Linked DNA regions of Drosophila melanogaster. The protein of the gene in region 2 interacts with the protein of the main gene of each other region in a pairwise test. Each region holds a gene or a part of one and is shown on either strand. Other genes may lie near its edges.

The links. The genes of interacting proteins can lie anywhere in the genome.
Region 1: the proteins of betaTub60D (region 2) and CG15450 interact in a two-hybrid assay, tested with the Drosophila melanogaster proteins (one large-scale study listed by BioGRID).

The regions. Positions count from the first base shown.
Region 1 is NC_004354.4:20,820,589-20,827,593, reverse strand, and holds CG15450 (uncharacterized protein), read right to left. Parts: upstream 5,449-7,005; 5' UTR 5,311-5,448; intron 3,305-5,310; 5' UTR 3,303-3,304; coding exon 2,079-3,302; 3' UTR 1,953-2,078; downstream 1-1,952. Other genes in the region: shakB (shaking B), read left to right, coding at 1,248-1,606.
Region 2 is NT_033778.4:24,302,600-24,313,442, reverse strand, and holds betaTub60D (beta-Tubulin at 60D), read right to left. Parts: upstream 7,563-10,843; 5' UTR 7,362-7,562; coding exon 7,305-7,361; intron 2,722-7,304; coding exon 2,613-2,721; intron 2,551-2,612; coding exon 2,306-2,550; intron 2,250-2,305; coding exon 1,296-2,249; 3' UTR 344-1,295; downstream 1-343. UniProt on the Drosophila melanogaster protein: Tubulin is the major constituent of microtubules, a cylinder consisting of laterally associated linear protofilaments composed of alpha- and beta-tubulin heterodimers.

The sequences.
Region 1 (7,005 bases), on a different chromosome or scaffold from region 2:
TAAGTGATTTAGGGATCTCAGTGAAATACTCATTAGCGCGTCGAGCTGATTACTGAATAGCCCTTAGTGATTAGCGACTAGTGTCAAGTGCCATCAATCAGAGTTGCTTTCGATGAATCACTTAGCCGACAGCTGCCGCGAATGCACTCGTTGCAAATGTGGCGCGTCGGAGGGCGAGTTGCACTCGCCATCCATCAATTAGTTGAGCACTTGCCACCCCCACCACCCAGTTGCCCACCCACTCAGCATATTCGTTTAGTCAGGCGCAACCCCGCAGGGGAACTCCCGCGTGTCCATTCCCTATCGCAATGGCAATCTGCAATCTGACAAATCAAATCTTGTATGCAAAGCAGCCAAAGCAAAGCGGCAACTGGCGACACGAGCAGCAGCAAAAGCAACAAGGCGACGAGCAATTTGTACGAGCATTTGTGCCAACAAAACGCTGGCACGCAGGCGAGCAGGAAATAAGGCAAGCTGGAGAGCAGGAAATCAGGCAAGCAGTGAGACAGGCAAGCGAAGTGAAAGCACGCAAGTGAACTGGAGACAAAGCGAAGCAAAAACAAAAGCATAGACGCAGCTGAAAAGCGCCCAAGCAAAAGTATCGAAAGCAGCAGAAAAGGTACCAAGACGCAAAAGTAGTGTAATAGTCAAATCAGATAGGTTAGTAAAGTTAGGTAAGGCAAGAAGGAATTCGTAGGCTAACAAAAGCTGCAAAGCACGAGAAAAGCAAAAGCACGTAATAGATATTTTCAGAAGCAAGAAAGCGAACCAGCAGATGAAAGCAGGATCCAAAAGAAGAAGACTAGTCTGAAGAGGAAAGCAAGAAAGCAGCAGACAGAAGAGCTAGCAGGCAAAGCAAGTTAGCAAGCAAGCAGATATAACAAAAAGAATAGCAGGAAAGCAAGATAGCAAGCAGGATACCGAGCAAGATAGCCTTATTCCAAAGCAAAAATCAAACAGTCAAGTAACCGATAAGGAAGCGAACGCAAGCAGATTAGCAGTAGAGCAAGTTAGCAAAAAAGCAAGTAAGCAATATAGGGAGCAGGAGACGACGACTAAATAGTTGCGTGACCAGCGCGCTTTGCTCACTAAACAGCGTAATTGGTCATAAAGCGACTGCTGCGAATGACCCGCACGCCGGACTAACCGACCGTTTACGGCAATTACTAACCGGAGCAGAGGAGGTGACAAGCAATTAGGCGGTCGGCAGGCGGCGGCGGGGGGTCGGCCGGCCCCCCCAACCCCGGATGTATAAGCCGGACACGCTCACGCGCCGCGGCAGCCTGAGATCCCTGCGCAGCGCCCCGCTCCTGAGCACCGTGCTCGAAAGCACGCTTTCACTGACCCGCATTCACCCGATCGCCTCCTTGGAGCTACCCGGCCTCGACTATGCGGTCCACTCGCAGTCGGCCTTTGGCGCCTACGGGCTAGCCCACCCCCGGGATCTAGCCACCTGCACCTCGTTGCGCAGCGGCCTTGCGGCGATCACCGCGGCGTCCGCTTCCGCCGCCGGCGGCGTTTCCCAGTCGCAGAGCGCCCTCCTCGGAAGGTACGGGCCCAACGCCTCGATTCGCCACGGAGAAAGAAAGATTGTCCAGCCAAAACGGTAGGTCCTCGCTATCTATAAGGTCACCACCACCATAGGGACTAGAGTCATATGTCATGAGAGGTCTAGTATATCATATCTAGTTAGTGCTTATCTGGGGTCAGATCCAAAGGACTTACGACAGAATAACTTTTTATAAGTGGATACACAGCATCCGGTTTAACCATTTAATAGCTTTGTTTTAATCAATCAGTTGTCTGGCTATCAAGAGATAGAAAAGCATATAATAATTGGTTTATAGAATAGCCTACAGAATGCAAGGGGTCTTCCCTTCTGGTCATCGAGATTAGCTGCTCCACCACTTCGCGGCCAGAGAACAGTAAAATAAGTGAATTTATCACATTTTGCTCTCTAAAATATATCGATCGATTTACTAGTATCAAAAGGGTCATACAATCAATATACCAACAGCGTACGGTATTGCAAACGGCGATATGAAATAGCCAAGGTAAGAACCTAAGCTATGCTTGAACTATTGCCAGTCCCTGACGGGACTCCAGCGTTTTAGGTTTCCGTCCCAGGGCAGATCATCGATATTCGCCTGGGCGGCGATTGCGGCCTTCACTCGATTCGAAAACTCTACTGGGGACTCGTCGTTGCACCGGCTGAGTGCCGGCATGTACCAAACATCGCAGCAAATGCACCACGAGCTGACCACCATCAGCATGTATCTGAGCATAGAGTAACGGGTGCTGTCCCAATAGGCCTCGCCGAATCGGCGATCGTATCGAATGGCCACTGGATGAACGACGTCGCTGACCGCGAAGCTACCCTTTTTGAACTGCATTACGGCGGTGTTGTTGATGCAAGTGCCCTCGGGGAAGAGCAGGACCGGCGGCCGATCCTTCATGGAGCAGTGTAGGCGGAGCACCAGACCCAGAGCCTCACGATCGGCCAGTTCCTTGCGGTCGAACCACATGTGGTGGGAGACCCTCGACAGGGCGCGCTGCAGGACGCCCAGGATGCCGGTGTGAACCTGGCCCGTCAGCGAGTAGTTGGCATCGCACATCAGCACCAGGACGTCTAAGGGGCTCGTGTGATTGCACACACAGATGCCCTTGGTGGGCCGATACTCCGTGTTGTGGAATCTGCGGATCATCGGCAGGCAGGCGGCCGTGATTCGGAAGCACTGCCGCAATACCAGCTCCACCAACTTTTTCTTGAAGCACCAGTCGGGAATGTGACCCAGCAGCATTGAGACTCCACTGATCATGAACAGGCACAGCCAGCAGCCAATGGTCCTGAAGGGCAAAAGCAGTCCGTAGCGTACAACCCAGCCCAGCAGCCAGACCGTCCTTAAACGCCAGCTGAGGTATCGATTCCTCTGACGAAGGTTGCGGGTCAGCAGATTCCATTCCCCAGCTGGCGAAGGTGGGGCCACAAACCTCTGGGTCACGTCGTCCTCGAGCACCAAGCCCAAGCCGGCGGTTATGAAGTCGCAGCACTGCTCCACTCGGATATTGAGACGATTCTTGATCGGCGGCGAGAGCAGCTTCTCCATGCCATCGCCCTTATTTCCGACCGCCCACTTTTTGCCCAGGCGGCACCGTTCTTCGCGAGCTCGCCTCCTGCGAGTTTCCGCCAACTGATTGCCTATCCAGGCGAAGAGGAGTTCCAGGACATCCAGGTAGCGGCACTGCAGCCAAAAGAAGGACGCCCACAATAGGATGCCCAGGAAGACCAGTTGAATTAACATGGCTGTTGAAAGTTGAAAAAGTTTTACAAATTTAAGAGAAATGTAGATCCTCGTGTTTACCTCCTACTCCTATCGACAACAAAAATCTATTGAGCCTTGACAGCTAAAGCCCACGGGCTAAAAAGCCCATATCTTAAACTTATCCAAACATAGCCCACTGGGAAAACGTTCCATAACAATAGCATTGGTTGTGGTGCGGTTTAGAGGTATTTAGGAAAAGGGTTGTCGATAAGAACTTCCAGCCCGATACAAATTTTAGTAATTCTTAATGAGCTGCATTAATACGAGTATTAAGTATAGGAGTTCACCCACAAATTTCGCCATTAAAGCCCTAATTCAATTTGGCGCCGACTTTTTGGCTTTTCCTCACATTTTTCCGTTTTCCGAATATATATATATTTTTTTTTTTTGCAAGCGCCCAAAAGTCTTGATTTATTTTGCCCGAGATGTGAAGGAAAAATAAGAAAGCGAACAAGAAACTTTGCCATCGACTTCCCTTTTTTTTTTGGCTGCCAGTTGGGTTTGAGTTTTTGGGTCTTTGGGTTCGGCGTTTTGACTGGGGTCTTAGCCCATATTTTGTTTTTTCATATGGCAATAATTCAATTATGCCATAACAAGGCCGCAAAATGTTTGCCTTCGGGCGACCCGAAATCACTTAAAAACCACAGAAACTTCTGGCTTTGTTAATTCGTTAATTAAATGGGGTTTGCGCTTTCGCCACCGCTCCTCGAGGATTACGCAATGAGCGATGATGGCGATGGCTTGGCGGTATGTTGGTATGATGGTAAGATGGTGGAGCTTCCTTCCGCTGCCCTCCATTGATTACATTGGCTGGCAACAATCTTGGCTTATCAAATGCAAACAACGGCGACAGGCAACGTCAACGTCACCGACAACTCATTTATGCCCAAGCCCGGGCCCTTAATTAGCATAGAATGTGTTTTAAAAAGCCACTTGAGCTAAACATTCAAAACACCTACAGGGTGTTTTCCCCAGCCACCAGACACCAACCTTCTGCCCCATCCTCATCCCCATCCCCATCCCCACTACCTGTCTCGCGCTTTTCCTCGCTTTTCCACTTTTCCAGCGACAACGACAACGACCTTAGGCGCTTTCTGCGCGGGAAAGTATCTGCGTGGCACAGTTTGGCAAGTCTGAGGCCGGACAGATTTAAATACCCTAACTGCCGAAAGCGAGGAATTCAAATGAAACCAGCGACTGGGGGGCCACCGGAAGATTCGCAGATCCTTCGTAAATGTCAGGGAAACAAATTAATAGAGTCAAATTCAATAGATATGAAGAAATAATCACTTTTTGAATACGGATTAATATATGGCAAAAATGGGCCTTCAATTTTCAAGACCCAATATGATCTGATGAGCACCGATTTAAAAGTTGAATTCGATTTTCGGCGTATAATCTATATAAGCTCTATTACCATTAAAAATCTTCTTCTTTAATTTCTTAACCATGCCGATTCTTCAGTTCGCTCACTTGGTAATCACCACACTAACCAGTAACCAATAGCCAGTAAACCCTTCATAACCACTATTGCCTGCTTTCCATATCGATCGATTCGCATACATTCAGTTAGGGTATCCGTGTGTCGGTGTCGCCGCAGCAGCGACCACGGCAGCACGTGACGCTCAAGTGTTGGGATAAGCATTTCCGCTCTTCAGACGCTACACGAAAAAAAGCGCCCCTCTTGTGACAAAGCGCTTGTTGTTGTCGTGGAAAAGCGGTGGGAAAGCGTCTGGCGAGGGGAGGGCGGGTGGCAGGGCAAATGAGGGAGCACAAAATTAAATTGTGACGCTGGCGCTCCGACACGCCCACATGACGAGGCGCCGCCACGCCCTCCTGCCATTCAAAAGTAATTTAGCGTTTAAAAAACATTTTTCTGCCTGACTTTTAAAAAGTTGCGCGTAATGCGAGTGTGTGTTTGGGTATTTGCGTGCTTTGCGCAGGTGAAAAAGCGAACCAGCGCTCGGAAAAGCCGCCACTCACTCACCTAGCTGTTGTAGCCACGTTTCGATTTCGATGTCGTCGTCTGTCTGATCCGCCTGATTGTATGTTGTAATGGCTCGGTAAAGGAAGCGAAAAAACCTACTGCCTTCGAAATTTTTGTGCTTATTGACTTTGACGTTTCACCAACCGGCTACGTGAGTGTATTTATCAAGGAGTGAACTGCCGGGAAAATCTGGGAAAATGTCTATTAAAGTGCTGCTTAGATTATGGAAAATCTACGCTATGACAAAAAAAATGGAAGAGCAGGATAATGAAATAAGGGAAGTTGTTAGCACTTTCGCATGGAATAAAATGGCATATTACAAAAAATAACAGCAACGCTTTAGTCGAGTACTGCGACTATTACAACGTTTATGCTATGAGGTATCGTGATCTCTTGAAAGTGTGAAAGCAAATTATCCCCTGATTATGCGGCATTTCAAAAATTCGTGAATTTATTGACCTCATTTATTGGCCTGATTTATTATGCCTTCGGAATCTTCCTGTCTAATCTAAACTTTTTAGCTTTAATAGTTCCTAAGATCGAGGCGTTCATACTGATGGAGTCGGCTATTGAGTGGGATCAGAAATATATATATACTTTATATGGTCGGAAACGCATCCTGTTACGTACTTTTCACCGAATGTAGTATACCCTTTTATTCTACAAGTAGCGGGTTTAAAATGCTTAATATGACGAACATTATTTAACCAATTATTTTGAAATAGTTAAAATAATGTTGATAATATAACTCTGAATGCATCAATTAAAGCTTAGTTTCTTGAACTATGTATTGTGTAATTTGAATTAAAGAAAACATTTAAGCCAAGTCATAGAAGCCAAGTCACAAGCTAGAAAATCCTTTTGCCATTAGATGAAATTAAAAGGCATCAGTCGAGAAATAATGTAAACAATCAAGTGGAATAATGACAATGGAAAAACATTCACCCCACTTCCCCGCATTTGCATAATTTTGGGCAATTATTTCCATAAGTTGTTCATCCCCCCGAAAGCCAGGGAAAATTATAATTTCCTTGGGATTTTTGTTCGCCTTCTTGTACCCCGACTGGAAGTTTGTATGCGGCTGTTTCGAGCCAAGTTAATTAAAAAGTGTTGCCATTTGACCCTCGAAACTCGGAACTTAGAGCTAGCAGCTCGCAACTCAAATCTCTTTGACACTCGATGGGGAAAGCTCGCCCGCACTTTCCCATAATTGGTTTATGCCATTTTCCCGGCTTGTTTACGCGCCGTCAACATTTGCATAATGGAACTGGAATCAAATACAAGAAATGTGATTTATAATTTTTCTGTTGTTTGACGGCGGGCATTTTAATTAGTCCCGGAAGAGGACCCATCGTCTAATTAGGTGGGGTTGGGGCAAGGATCTCCACCGCCATCAAATCATTATTTAATATAAGCCGCCTAGCCTGCCTTCCATGTTTTGATGAATTACTTCCGCCTGATGGACGATACGTGACGAAAGTTGTCAGAAAAGCCAAAAATGGGGTAGGAATCTGAGTCCTATGTATTTTTGATTTGCGGCCGCATCGAGCAGTTTGCCAATCATCCATCCTTGAGGCCTCGTTTATTTGCGGCAATTAATCAAGTTGGCCAGTAGCGGAGCGACTTATCCCCGAATAAGTGATAAAGATTTATCACTCAGCCGCCCCGTTGCCGAGGACCTTAAAGCGATTTAAA
Region 2 (10,843 bases):
CAGTTTTGAGGACTGAGTTGAAAAAGTTTAATGTACTGAGGAATATTTTAAAACCAAGTGACAGTTACACACGGCGCTGCCAGATGTGCTCAATAATTTCAAATTAGTTTTTCAAGTGGCGCTTTTTCATTCTACATGTTACTTACTTGATGCATGTAACTTACCTTCTACACGTGCAATACATTCTACGTGTGTTCGTTCTGGCAACGCTAATTTAACGGACGTTTTCTGTTTAAATGAAAATTTTTCATTGTCTGCAGCTCCAACTGATTATACAGAATAATTATCAATATTCAGAAGTTATATACATGACTCTCTCTTTTAAGCAGAAACACAATGTTGTAAATTTTAAATAAATTCCATTTATTATTTGTCAAAAATGTTTGCCATTATTATTAGTTATTTATTGGGTACAAATGTTTTTATCCATATAAAACTACAAGAGAAGTACTGCACACGAATACAAAGTGAATAGATTGTGCCCTAAGATTATGTAAATACAATTGCAGATGCTTTTCAGAAATTGCCTTTTATAGAGGATCTCATGAGAGTTGTCGTTCGATTATCTTTGGATGAGCTCGTTTATCGTATAGCCCTAAACGTAAGTGCCGCCAAGTCTTGAGTGCCGACTTCCTAGACGCTGGACATTCTCGTTTTGAGATTTCTGCATAAATTCGATATCCTTTGCAATACTAGATACTTGTGGTCCTTCTGCTGACGTTGCGATATAAATAGTAGTATAAGAATGACGTGGGATAACTTGGGGTTATGAATGGAGTGACATGGGTGGTGGTGGGTGGGTTGGAAAGCGGGTGAAAATGGCTGCGAGAAATGCGATAGACGTGCCTCCGTGTAAAGTGTGTATATGGTATATAGTATAGTATAGTATAAAGTATATAGCGCAGAGGAGGTGACAAGTGCCGAAAATGAACAAAAAGATGAAGATGCGAGATGTCAGATGTGAGATGTGAGATGATGCGGCGGGATGGGCGATGATGGATGACGATGGATGAGCTGGATGATGGGGAGTAGCGGAAGCATGGGCTTGGGAACATTTCCGTTTGATGTTCTAACTACGCTTGACCTTCCTGTTCGTCTGCATGTCCTTCCTGTCCGTGTGTGATGATTGTGGTGGTGTGTGGTCTGCGTCTGCTGTGACTGTGTGTGTGTCCAACGGCGGGGGTCACAGGATGCTGCAGTGCTTGGCCGCCAGCTGGTGGCGCATGCCGCGCAGAAAGCGGACATCCCTATCCCCCCTGCCGTCACGCACGCCCCTCATTCCTCTGGCCACACCATTAAATACAATCGCCCTCGACCTCCTCCTGATTGACCTCCGGGTCGAACTCGTCGTCGGCGGTGGCCTCCTGGTACTGCTGGTACTCGGACACCAGGTCGTTCATGTTGCTCTCCGCCTCGGTGAACTCCATCTCGTCCATGCCCTCGCCGGTGTACCAGTGCAGGAAGGCCTTGCGCCGGAACATGGCCGAGAACTGCTCGGAGATCCGCTTGAACAGCTCCTGGATGGCCGTGGTGTTGCCGATGAACGTTGAGGACATCTTCAGGCCCTTCGGCGGGATGTCGCACACCGCGGTCTTCACATTGTTCGGGATCCACTCCACGAAGTAGGAGCTGTTCTTGTTCTGCACCGCCAGCATCTGCTCGTCCACCTCCTTCATGGACATGCGGCCGCGGAAGACGGCGGCCACCGTGAGGTAGCGACCGTGGCGTGGATCACAGGCGGCCATCATGTTCTTGGCGTCGAACATCTGCTGGGTCAGTTCGGGAACGGTGAGGGCGCGGTACTGCTGCGATCCGCGCGAGGTGAGCGGCGCGAATCCGGGCATGAAGAAGTGGAGACGCGGGAATGGAACCATGTTGACCGCCAGCTTGCGCAGATCGGCGTTCAGCTGGCCGGGGAAACGCAGGCAGGTGGTCACCCCGGACATGGTCAGCGAGACCAGGTGGTTCAAGTCTCCGTAGCTGGGATTCGACACCTTCAGCGTCCGGAAGCAGATGTCGTACAGCGCCTCGTTGTCGATGCAGTACGTCTCGTCTGTGTTCTCCACCAGCTGGTGGATCGACAGGGTGGCGTTGTAGGGCTCCACCACGGTGTCCGACACCTTGGGCGATGGCACCACCGAGTAGGTGTTCATGATGCGGTCGGGGTACTCCTCGCGGATCTTCGAGATCAGCAGGGTGCCCATTCCGGACCCAGTGCCGCCGCCCAGCGAGTGCGTCAATTGGAAGCCCTAAAGACATACGGAATCAGTACCAGATTAACACGTTCTCATCCAAAAGTACCAACCTGCAGGCAGTCGCAGTTCTCGCACTCCTTGCGGACCACGTCCAGGACATTGTCCACCAGCTCGGCGCCCTCGGTGTAGTGACCCTTGGCCCAGTTGTTGCCCGCTCCCGACTGTCCGTACACGAAGTTGTCCGGCCGGAAGAGTTGTCCGTACGGACCGGAACGCACCGACTCCATGGTTCCGGGCTCCAGATCGAGCAGGATGGCCCTGGGCACGTACTTGCCACCCGACGACCGCGTGACTGCTGAAAGGGGATGCGATTAGTGAAAACCATTTGGGCGATCTAATGACATGGCAAAGTGTTACCCGATGCTTCGTTGTAGTAGACACTGACGCGCTCCAGCTGCAGATCACTGTCGCCCACGTAGATGCCATTGCTGTCGATGCCGTGCTCCTCGGAAATGATCTCCCAGAACTGCGGGAAAGCAAAAGGTTAGGAAGTGTGTTAGGAAGTTTTACTCAAAGCTGGATCCTAGAATGATAACTCATTCGAATTGCATATACAAGAAAGTCATATTTATTGGATAAAAGTAAAAAAACTCGTTTGATTAGAAGTAATTAGTTTGAGTTTCTCAAGCTCGAGTCTATTAAACCAATTAGCAAATTCCCTGAACATCAAATAATGCTTCGTTCAAAGAAAACTTGCCATGTTTCTGAGAAATAAATATACGTATGTACATAATATACGCCATTGAGATAAGAAGCTGCATCCCGCATCTTGACAGCTCCTTATCCGCCACTCCAGCGGAGATCTTTCATCCTTATCGGCCAACACATATGATATCTTTATGAACCCAGCGGAGCACTTGGCGATTGCGGATTCTTTAGTCGACACGAAGACCCACTAAATATTCCCGGAGCCGTTCATCAAGTTGAGTAATTGTGCCCACCCAGCCATGTCAGAGTTCATGTTGAGCCCTGACATATGGCCGCAGCCACAGAATCCGCCCAAAATCCAAAAAAAAAAAAAAAACATAGAGAGGCACCCCAAGAACCATTCTAGAAATCTCTGTTCCTGCCTCCTCCGATGTGAAAATGTGACAATGTGACAAACAACAAGGCGCAGCCGCAGCCCATAAAGTTTGAGGTTTGGAAAAATACACAAGTACGAGTATATATATGGGCTAAATGCGGATGCGGACGGCCTGGCCTGTCCATATAGGGGGCCTCCGATGGCGCAGTCAAAAGTGAGACAGATTGCCCCGAAAAAAAAGGGAAAACCGAATTTATGTTTAGTTTTTCAAACGTCAGTTTTGGACGCCGCCGAACATGCCCTGATTTAGTGCTAAATTTAAAAAATGCGTCCGGGCTGGTAAAAATTAAATAAAAAACCCTGTCCCTCTTCTCACTGTATGGGACAAAATTTCCACGACACGCCGCTCCTGGGGAGAAATGCATTTAAAAATAGCGGAGCAGAGCAGAATGGAATGGGTTGCGATGGGATGGGATGGGAGTGTGAGAGATACACGACTGCTGACTCATCGGGGGCCAAGAATTAGAGACTGCAGGCCAATGACCCACCATTAGATGGGGCCACCTCCTTAGACATCCCCCTTCCCATCCAGTGACCCGATCGAAATGCGATAAATTACGTATCTCATGGATACACAGCCATCGCGGCGATTTATTGAGGAAGTGCTCTGCAATTGTTGTGCTGCGTTTAACAAGAACCAAATTTGGGCGCCTCCGGGGATCATTGGGCGACTATTTGGGGATCGGTTTTGGGGATCAGCATGGCCTCTCCAACGGAGCGAAACGCGGCTGGCTTGGCAACAGTCACCGAGATTCTCCGGCGAGGAATAGGGGAAATAATAAAAATGTTAGCGATGTCTGCTGTCTGAGTTGTTTCCCTTTGGCACTTGAACTTGACGTGTGCGACTATAAACAAAGGCACTGGGAACTGGGGATGGGGATGGGGTTGCAGATGGGGATGGGGATCTGACTGCGAGGAGAAGGAGCAGTGGAGCTACCCATGGCGTCTGCATTTCTTTGTTTATTTACGGCCCAGCGGAGAGGGGCGGAAACTACATCAACGAAGTGAATCTCAGGCAACTGCAATCTTAGCAAGATCATCAAATTTAATTGGAGTGTGGCCGCTGCAATTATGAAGCTCCAACAACAAAGCGCGGCTTATAAGGCCGCGCAAACAGAAAACAAAACCACACGCGGCAGCAGCAAATATGAAAACCGAATTAGCACACAAAACTGTTGAAGTGAAAAGTCGTTTTTCACGGCCCCTCCTGCCCCCCATTTCCACTTCTCCCCCCTGCGGGCACGACCATCGCTGATCGCTTTACTTTTACATTCGACTAATGCTCCACCTCGGATTTTCATTTGCCAGATAATGGCTTTGTCGGAAAACTGTCGGCCTTTTCGGTGAACGGCAGTTGGAGGTATAAACCGAGGCACAGTTAGATTGCAATTATAGATTGATGGCTTTTCGGCCAGATTTATTTCGGGCGAACACGATCGGTGGCGAGAATTCAATTTGGTTAAGAAAACTCGTGTCGAATCGGAACGTAAGGTTGATTGCTTGTGATGGAAAACGTTCTACAAATGGAACTGGCCAACTGTAGCTTGAAAAGCCCCAAGCAAGATGGTTGTATGAGAAGATAGTATATCCTAGGAGTATATGTTTCTTTCCTTCATATTATCAAAGTGGAATTCATTGCTATGCTTTTCCACAATTAGTTTTCCGGGCTTTCATCCACGAAAATAGACAACATCTGTTCTAACAGCTTCGCTGGCGAGTCCAATCTTCAATTTGTGCAATTAGCTCGCAAAGCTAAGCTCTGCTGCCTGGAGTCTACTAGTAACTGCAACTGGCCTGGTCTAAGCCCCCTTTGGAGACGGGACCGCCGCCCCTGGCCACGCCTCTAGCATGCGATCATCTGGCGACTGGCAATCGAGACGCCCTCATTAAGTGTTGCATGTCTGGGAGCCAGAGACTCCTCCACTCCCCCAATCCGCGACTGCACTTCGTCTATGCGAGACTCACTCGAGCGTGAACTTGGAGCCCATCTTCTTTCTGCAGAGGATCGCTGGCTATGCAAAGAGACGAAGAGAGTGCTATTTTCACAAGATATAAAGCATTTGGCATCCGAGGAGGAAAATTCTTCGATTGAAGTGCCCCGCACCCGCACCCACACTCACTCTTGACTTTTGTCTTTTCCCGCAGCTGCTGTGGAGTGTCAAAAACGACGGAGGAAGGCGATAAGAATTCCGAAAGAGAGCCCCGGGTTTATTGACTTCGGATCTGGACGGCCACTTGGATCCTACTTAATCTCGGAGGCCGCACACTTAGTATGCATTCATCGTCGTGGCTCGAGCCAAAAGGGGATTCGCACACAAAGTCAGTGGCCAGTGGGCAACCCCGATATCCTGTAATTGTATACAGGACAGGTCCGGTGAGTCACTTCCTTCCTCTCCTGCACTTGTGCGGTTTTCGGGCTGGCATTCTTTGCCATTCTTATTCAAGAATCCGCTTGTCCACTCAGCTGTTAGTTGTTTCTTTCTCAGTTTGCCGGTTTTTTGGGGTCTCACATTACCGGGGGGGTTTCGCTGCTCAAATTACCAGACAAACTTCCCATCATATCTCATTCAGTACTTATGTATATACCTACGAGCGCTGCCCCATAAAACCATTGCTATTGCCGAAATTCCGGGAAGCCGAAAAGGCAGGCGAGTTTGCTTTTAAATTGAAGCTGCTGACTAGTCAGTCGCTGCGTCGTCTAATTCTCCACAAATTGACTCATATCAAATGATTAAGATCCGCGGGCTTATCTTTCGTGAGTGTACTATGATGTGGTTTTATCAGCGACCCACTTTGCAATTGGACGATGATTGGGAGCGAATCGAGTCTGTGGCATTGACATTGATGCCACAGAAAAATGCACTCAGCGGGGTGCCACTTGTAAGAAACACATCGATCCAAACTGGTATTGCCAAAAAACAACTGAGTTCGCAAAAGCCGGTTGCCTGCCTGCCTCCTTTTCGCGAAGAACTGCACTTGGTTTTTCGGGCGTGCTGATTGGATTGGATTGAGTGGACTATCCTATATCTATCCTATATATAAGTCAGAACCCAATTGCTCCGATCGTTTGCATTACTCGAGTTTCCGTTTCTCGCTCACTTCGATTGATAAAAGCCCAGTAGTGGTTGGTTGGCACGATTGCTCATCGGATACTCTACCCGTAATTCTAGGAAAGATTAGAACAGCTGCAGTTGGATTCATATTGGGAAAGCCTCTTGTAAATATTTGTATATAGCTTCGGGAAAAATTGGATAACTGTGTACATTATATTCATAAATATTAATGATGGACTTCAGTTACTTCTCCAGTGAGTTTGCTACTGAAATCAAGTTATATTGCCCAACCAACGTATAAAGCTTTCTTTACATACTATTGCTTCTTTTATTGCATTTTTTGTGGTTTCTTTGGAGCGCAGGAAACTCAAGCAAAGCGAAAAGATTTCTCCGGTCAGATAATTCAAGAGATTTCCCTTCTCGGCGTCAAAAAATTGCAAAAGTCCCCAGAAGTTTCCTCGCTGATTTGCGCCTCAGCCACAATTCTCCCTCCCAAAGTTCCCCGCCCAATTTCCCCGACAGGGTTTGCCATGAATCACTTTTCGTGATCTGCAGCCGGCCCAACCCGTTTTCTTTTTTTCTTCGTCTTGAGCGAATTTTGCGAAGCAGAAAGGGCATATCGAGTGCCAGACGAGCTCAAAATAAGTTTCTTTCAACGTCCACTTTTTGCACTTTGCATTTTTTATTTAACGTATCTGTGCTTGTTTTTTTTTTTGTTAATTTTCTTTCGCTTTAATTGCTGAATGCGCTGAAAAAGGCGGCGACATCGAACTGCGCACCGCAGCCGATCATTTTGGAAACTCATTGAAAAACGTTTTCGGGCAATCTGAATAAATTAAGTGCCACCAGAAATCGGCGATCGGCCGACTCGAGAAAATGTGAGTTGGAAAAGAGACTAGTGACGAGACCTACCTTAGCGCCGATTTGGTTGCCGCACTGGCCGGCCTGCAGGTTCACGATTTCTCTCATCTTGAAAGCGGCGATTTGTGGGGTCGAAGGCTAAGGCTGGAATCGGATCTTAGTCTCAGTCTGGAGAAGGATGCACCGCACGGTCCGAGTAGCTGCTGCTGGATTTTCAGACGTTCAGATGTCCAGAGGTTCTGATTCTCAGCTTATTAGGTTTCAGAACGAAGGCGCAACTTCACCGCACAACGCACAAGACACAACTGATCGGCGGAACAAAACTCGAGTCCGTCGACGATGTTCTGGTGACTTTGAGTCGACTGCGACTCGAGTGCCGACGCTGCGGCCAGAGCGAGACGGCCGATCGCACTCACACACCGAGGCACCGGCACACCGACACGCACACAGATACGCAAACAGCCACAGTGCGCACAGTGGGGCCAATGCGGAGTTATCGAGCTTAAAACTCGCCACATGGCAGCTCCTCTTGGGATCCAACAAAAATGCAAGTTGAACACAATAAGTTAACTCAGCTGTCATTATTATTCAATCATATTTTTAAGCAAGTTACTTCATGATATCCAATCTTTTCAGTTATTTTGCTTGAAATCGTAATCAAATTAGTGACTAAAAACAGTTGACTAATTTTGCCTTTGACTCACTCCCTTACACCATTGAACTTTAATTTTTAAAGTTTCATTTATCGTTTGTTGTTTTGAGAAATTACTGAGGCATTTGAGCTGTAATTTAATAAAAATGTTTCTAAAAATTATTAAACTTTGCCATATCTTCATATTCGAAAAACTCGCTTTCGAGTAGTGCCTGTTGTTTTGTACCAATAAAATAGTGACTGTATTATGACTGGGCTAAAAATATGTTCAAAGTAGGGGGGGGGGGGGAGGCCATGGGGTGGTCTCAAATCATTTTCGGCAATTCGAAAGTTTATGCATCAATCGGCGGAAGTTGGGGAAAAGTTTTGCCAAAGGTGTGGGGTCGCAGGGAGCCCAAGTCAGTGGCAAGTGTAATTTGGAGCCGCCTTTCGGTTTCGTTATTAATTTCGCATTGGTTCATGCACTGGCGGCAGAAAATCGGAGAAACCCACATATATAGTTGCATATTGTGGCACCCCGCCGTCGCTTTCCTGTTCCTAAGTTCACACATTTTTACGCTGTCAACTGCAGCGACTTTCACGTTCTAATTTTATCCGGCAGAATGCACAGGTATGCAACTCGAATCCCCGACTCCCGACTTCTCCGTATCCGCACCTATGTATATGTATCTGAGATTCAGAGATTCAGAGTCCCACAGTCCTACGAGTGTGTGCATTTTCCGACTGGCTGTGTGCACTTCCACAAAAGTGTCACCGCAGTCATTAGAAATGTTTCGTCCTCTTACATGTGTTTTTCCTTCGTTTTGGAGCTCCTAATGCACTCGGTGAAAATGGAAATGAAAACGAAACGGAGGTGGAGATGGAAATGTAGATGGAGAGGAAAAGCGAGATGCAGAGTGGTATTTTTAGACGGACTCCGCTCCGCTCGGCTGCCGACTTTCCCGACTCGCAGTTCGGGGACCGGCCGGGATTGGGATTTGGATTTGGATCTGCGGCGTCAATTTCCCCATTTCCTCGGAAATCAATCAATGCCCCGGCAAGACAATTTGTAGTCGTTTTACTTTCTAATTGCATTCAAGTTGAAAGACCAAGAGCAGGCCTAAGTGGGGAGGAAGATCGGGCTCGGACTTCTGCTCCTCAAGTGCTTCAGTCGTTCCTATTTCCATTCAGCGGCAGTCAAACCGCAAAATTCACTTTAAATGCGATGGCAAAACAGGCATGGTGAAGCGGATCGGAGCTCTGGCATCGCATCCATATCTCTGCTCCTCTGTTTGCTAAATTTAAATGCACCACAAAATAATCTCGAATTTACGAGCTCGAATAGACAAAATGTTGTACATTCATGCGCAACAAGAGGACTACAATCATTCGGCTCGAAGGCGGCAATCGCTGGAGGAGTGGGCTAAGAGGCGGAGGTCTTTTTGGCCAGAACTTAGTTTCCAGGTCTCTGGACCAAGGGACAATGTATGCAAATATGGCTGACAATTCGGATCGGCTGAGTAGAAATGTCAGAGGGCGTAGGCTACAGAGGGAGTTGACTGAAACGATTGGAAAGAAGGATTCGCAGCATAAGAGCTTAATCTTTTCGCTAGTGGGAATGTACTCGTAATCTGAACTGCCCTGTTGAAATACCAGTGGTGAGAAATACATCTAAGATACTCTCAGCTGAGTGGTTACAATGGTTTGAAAATGGTTGAACTAGCTTAGTGATAGATGCGTATGCTTACGCACTTTTCTACGCACTTGGGGGATTAAGCTGCTTTCCAAGAGGCCATGGAGATTAGAGTTCGGAAACAATAATACCCAATAGATACTTTCTCCGAAAAGGACCCCTCGATGGGCAGGACTACGCTTGAGACGAAACACACCGCCGTGTTTTAACAAGGCCCACTAATACCAATGGAAGGCGGTGGCCTGCATTCAGCTGGTCTCCGAGGGTGTGTGTGTGTGTGTGTGGATTTGGGTGTGTGCGGGTGTGGTCTCCCCCTTGCCACCTTCGTCCCGGGAGCCCGCAAAAAGTAACAAATGTTTTTTTAGGATTTGTGTTTTGGGAATTTTTGCACTTGTGTAAATGTAGCTCGCACACGCACAAAAAACACCCACACACACACACTCTGGGTCGCACATTTGGGCAAAATACAATATATGCGTACAATACAAAATGTAGCCAGCATTTGTCTTTTTTGTATTTTGTATTTGCGCATTGCCATAGTTAAATTTATTCGCAAACAACAATACATATGCACATACATAGATGCGTGTGCAACAGTGCAAATGTTATTACCGTGTTTACATAGTCGCATACTCGTATTTATAAGCAGGCAATTAGGTTTGATTGATTTGCCAGGACAGGCCATATTTTAATTTCTTGCCTACACTTCGACTCTTAATTGCAATTTATAATTGGCATTTTAATTTCTGTTGCTGACAAACCTTTTTGTTCTACACAATTTTTATGTAAAATTAATTCTGGATAATTGCATTCAGGCTGCATGAGTTTTCTCTTTTTTTTCGGAGTTTTGCTGCATCTTTTTGTGTCCGTTGGCAGCAATTTAATTGAACTTGATTGATTTTTGCTGATGTTGTTGATGGAAAAATAATATTGTTGTAAAATCATAACAATCCACGTTGGCTGGGGGAGTAAAAGCCGGCAGCTACACTTTTATCTCTGGACTGAAGCCCGAAGCCTACGAGAAACGAACAAAGCATAAACACCTGTGCTTTCAACCCTTTTTTTTTTTGAGCTTTTCCTTTAAAATGTGTGGCATGCTGAGGGCTGTCATTCAATTAAATTTCAACTACTATTTCCTGGAGCGTAAAAATTAGGGAGAAGCAAAATAGTTGTCAAACCAAAAACACACATTAATATTGGCCAGTTCAGTTCGCCGCTGCTGGACACTTTTTCGAAAGGAAAACATCGTTCAGCACTTTCCCCACC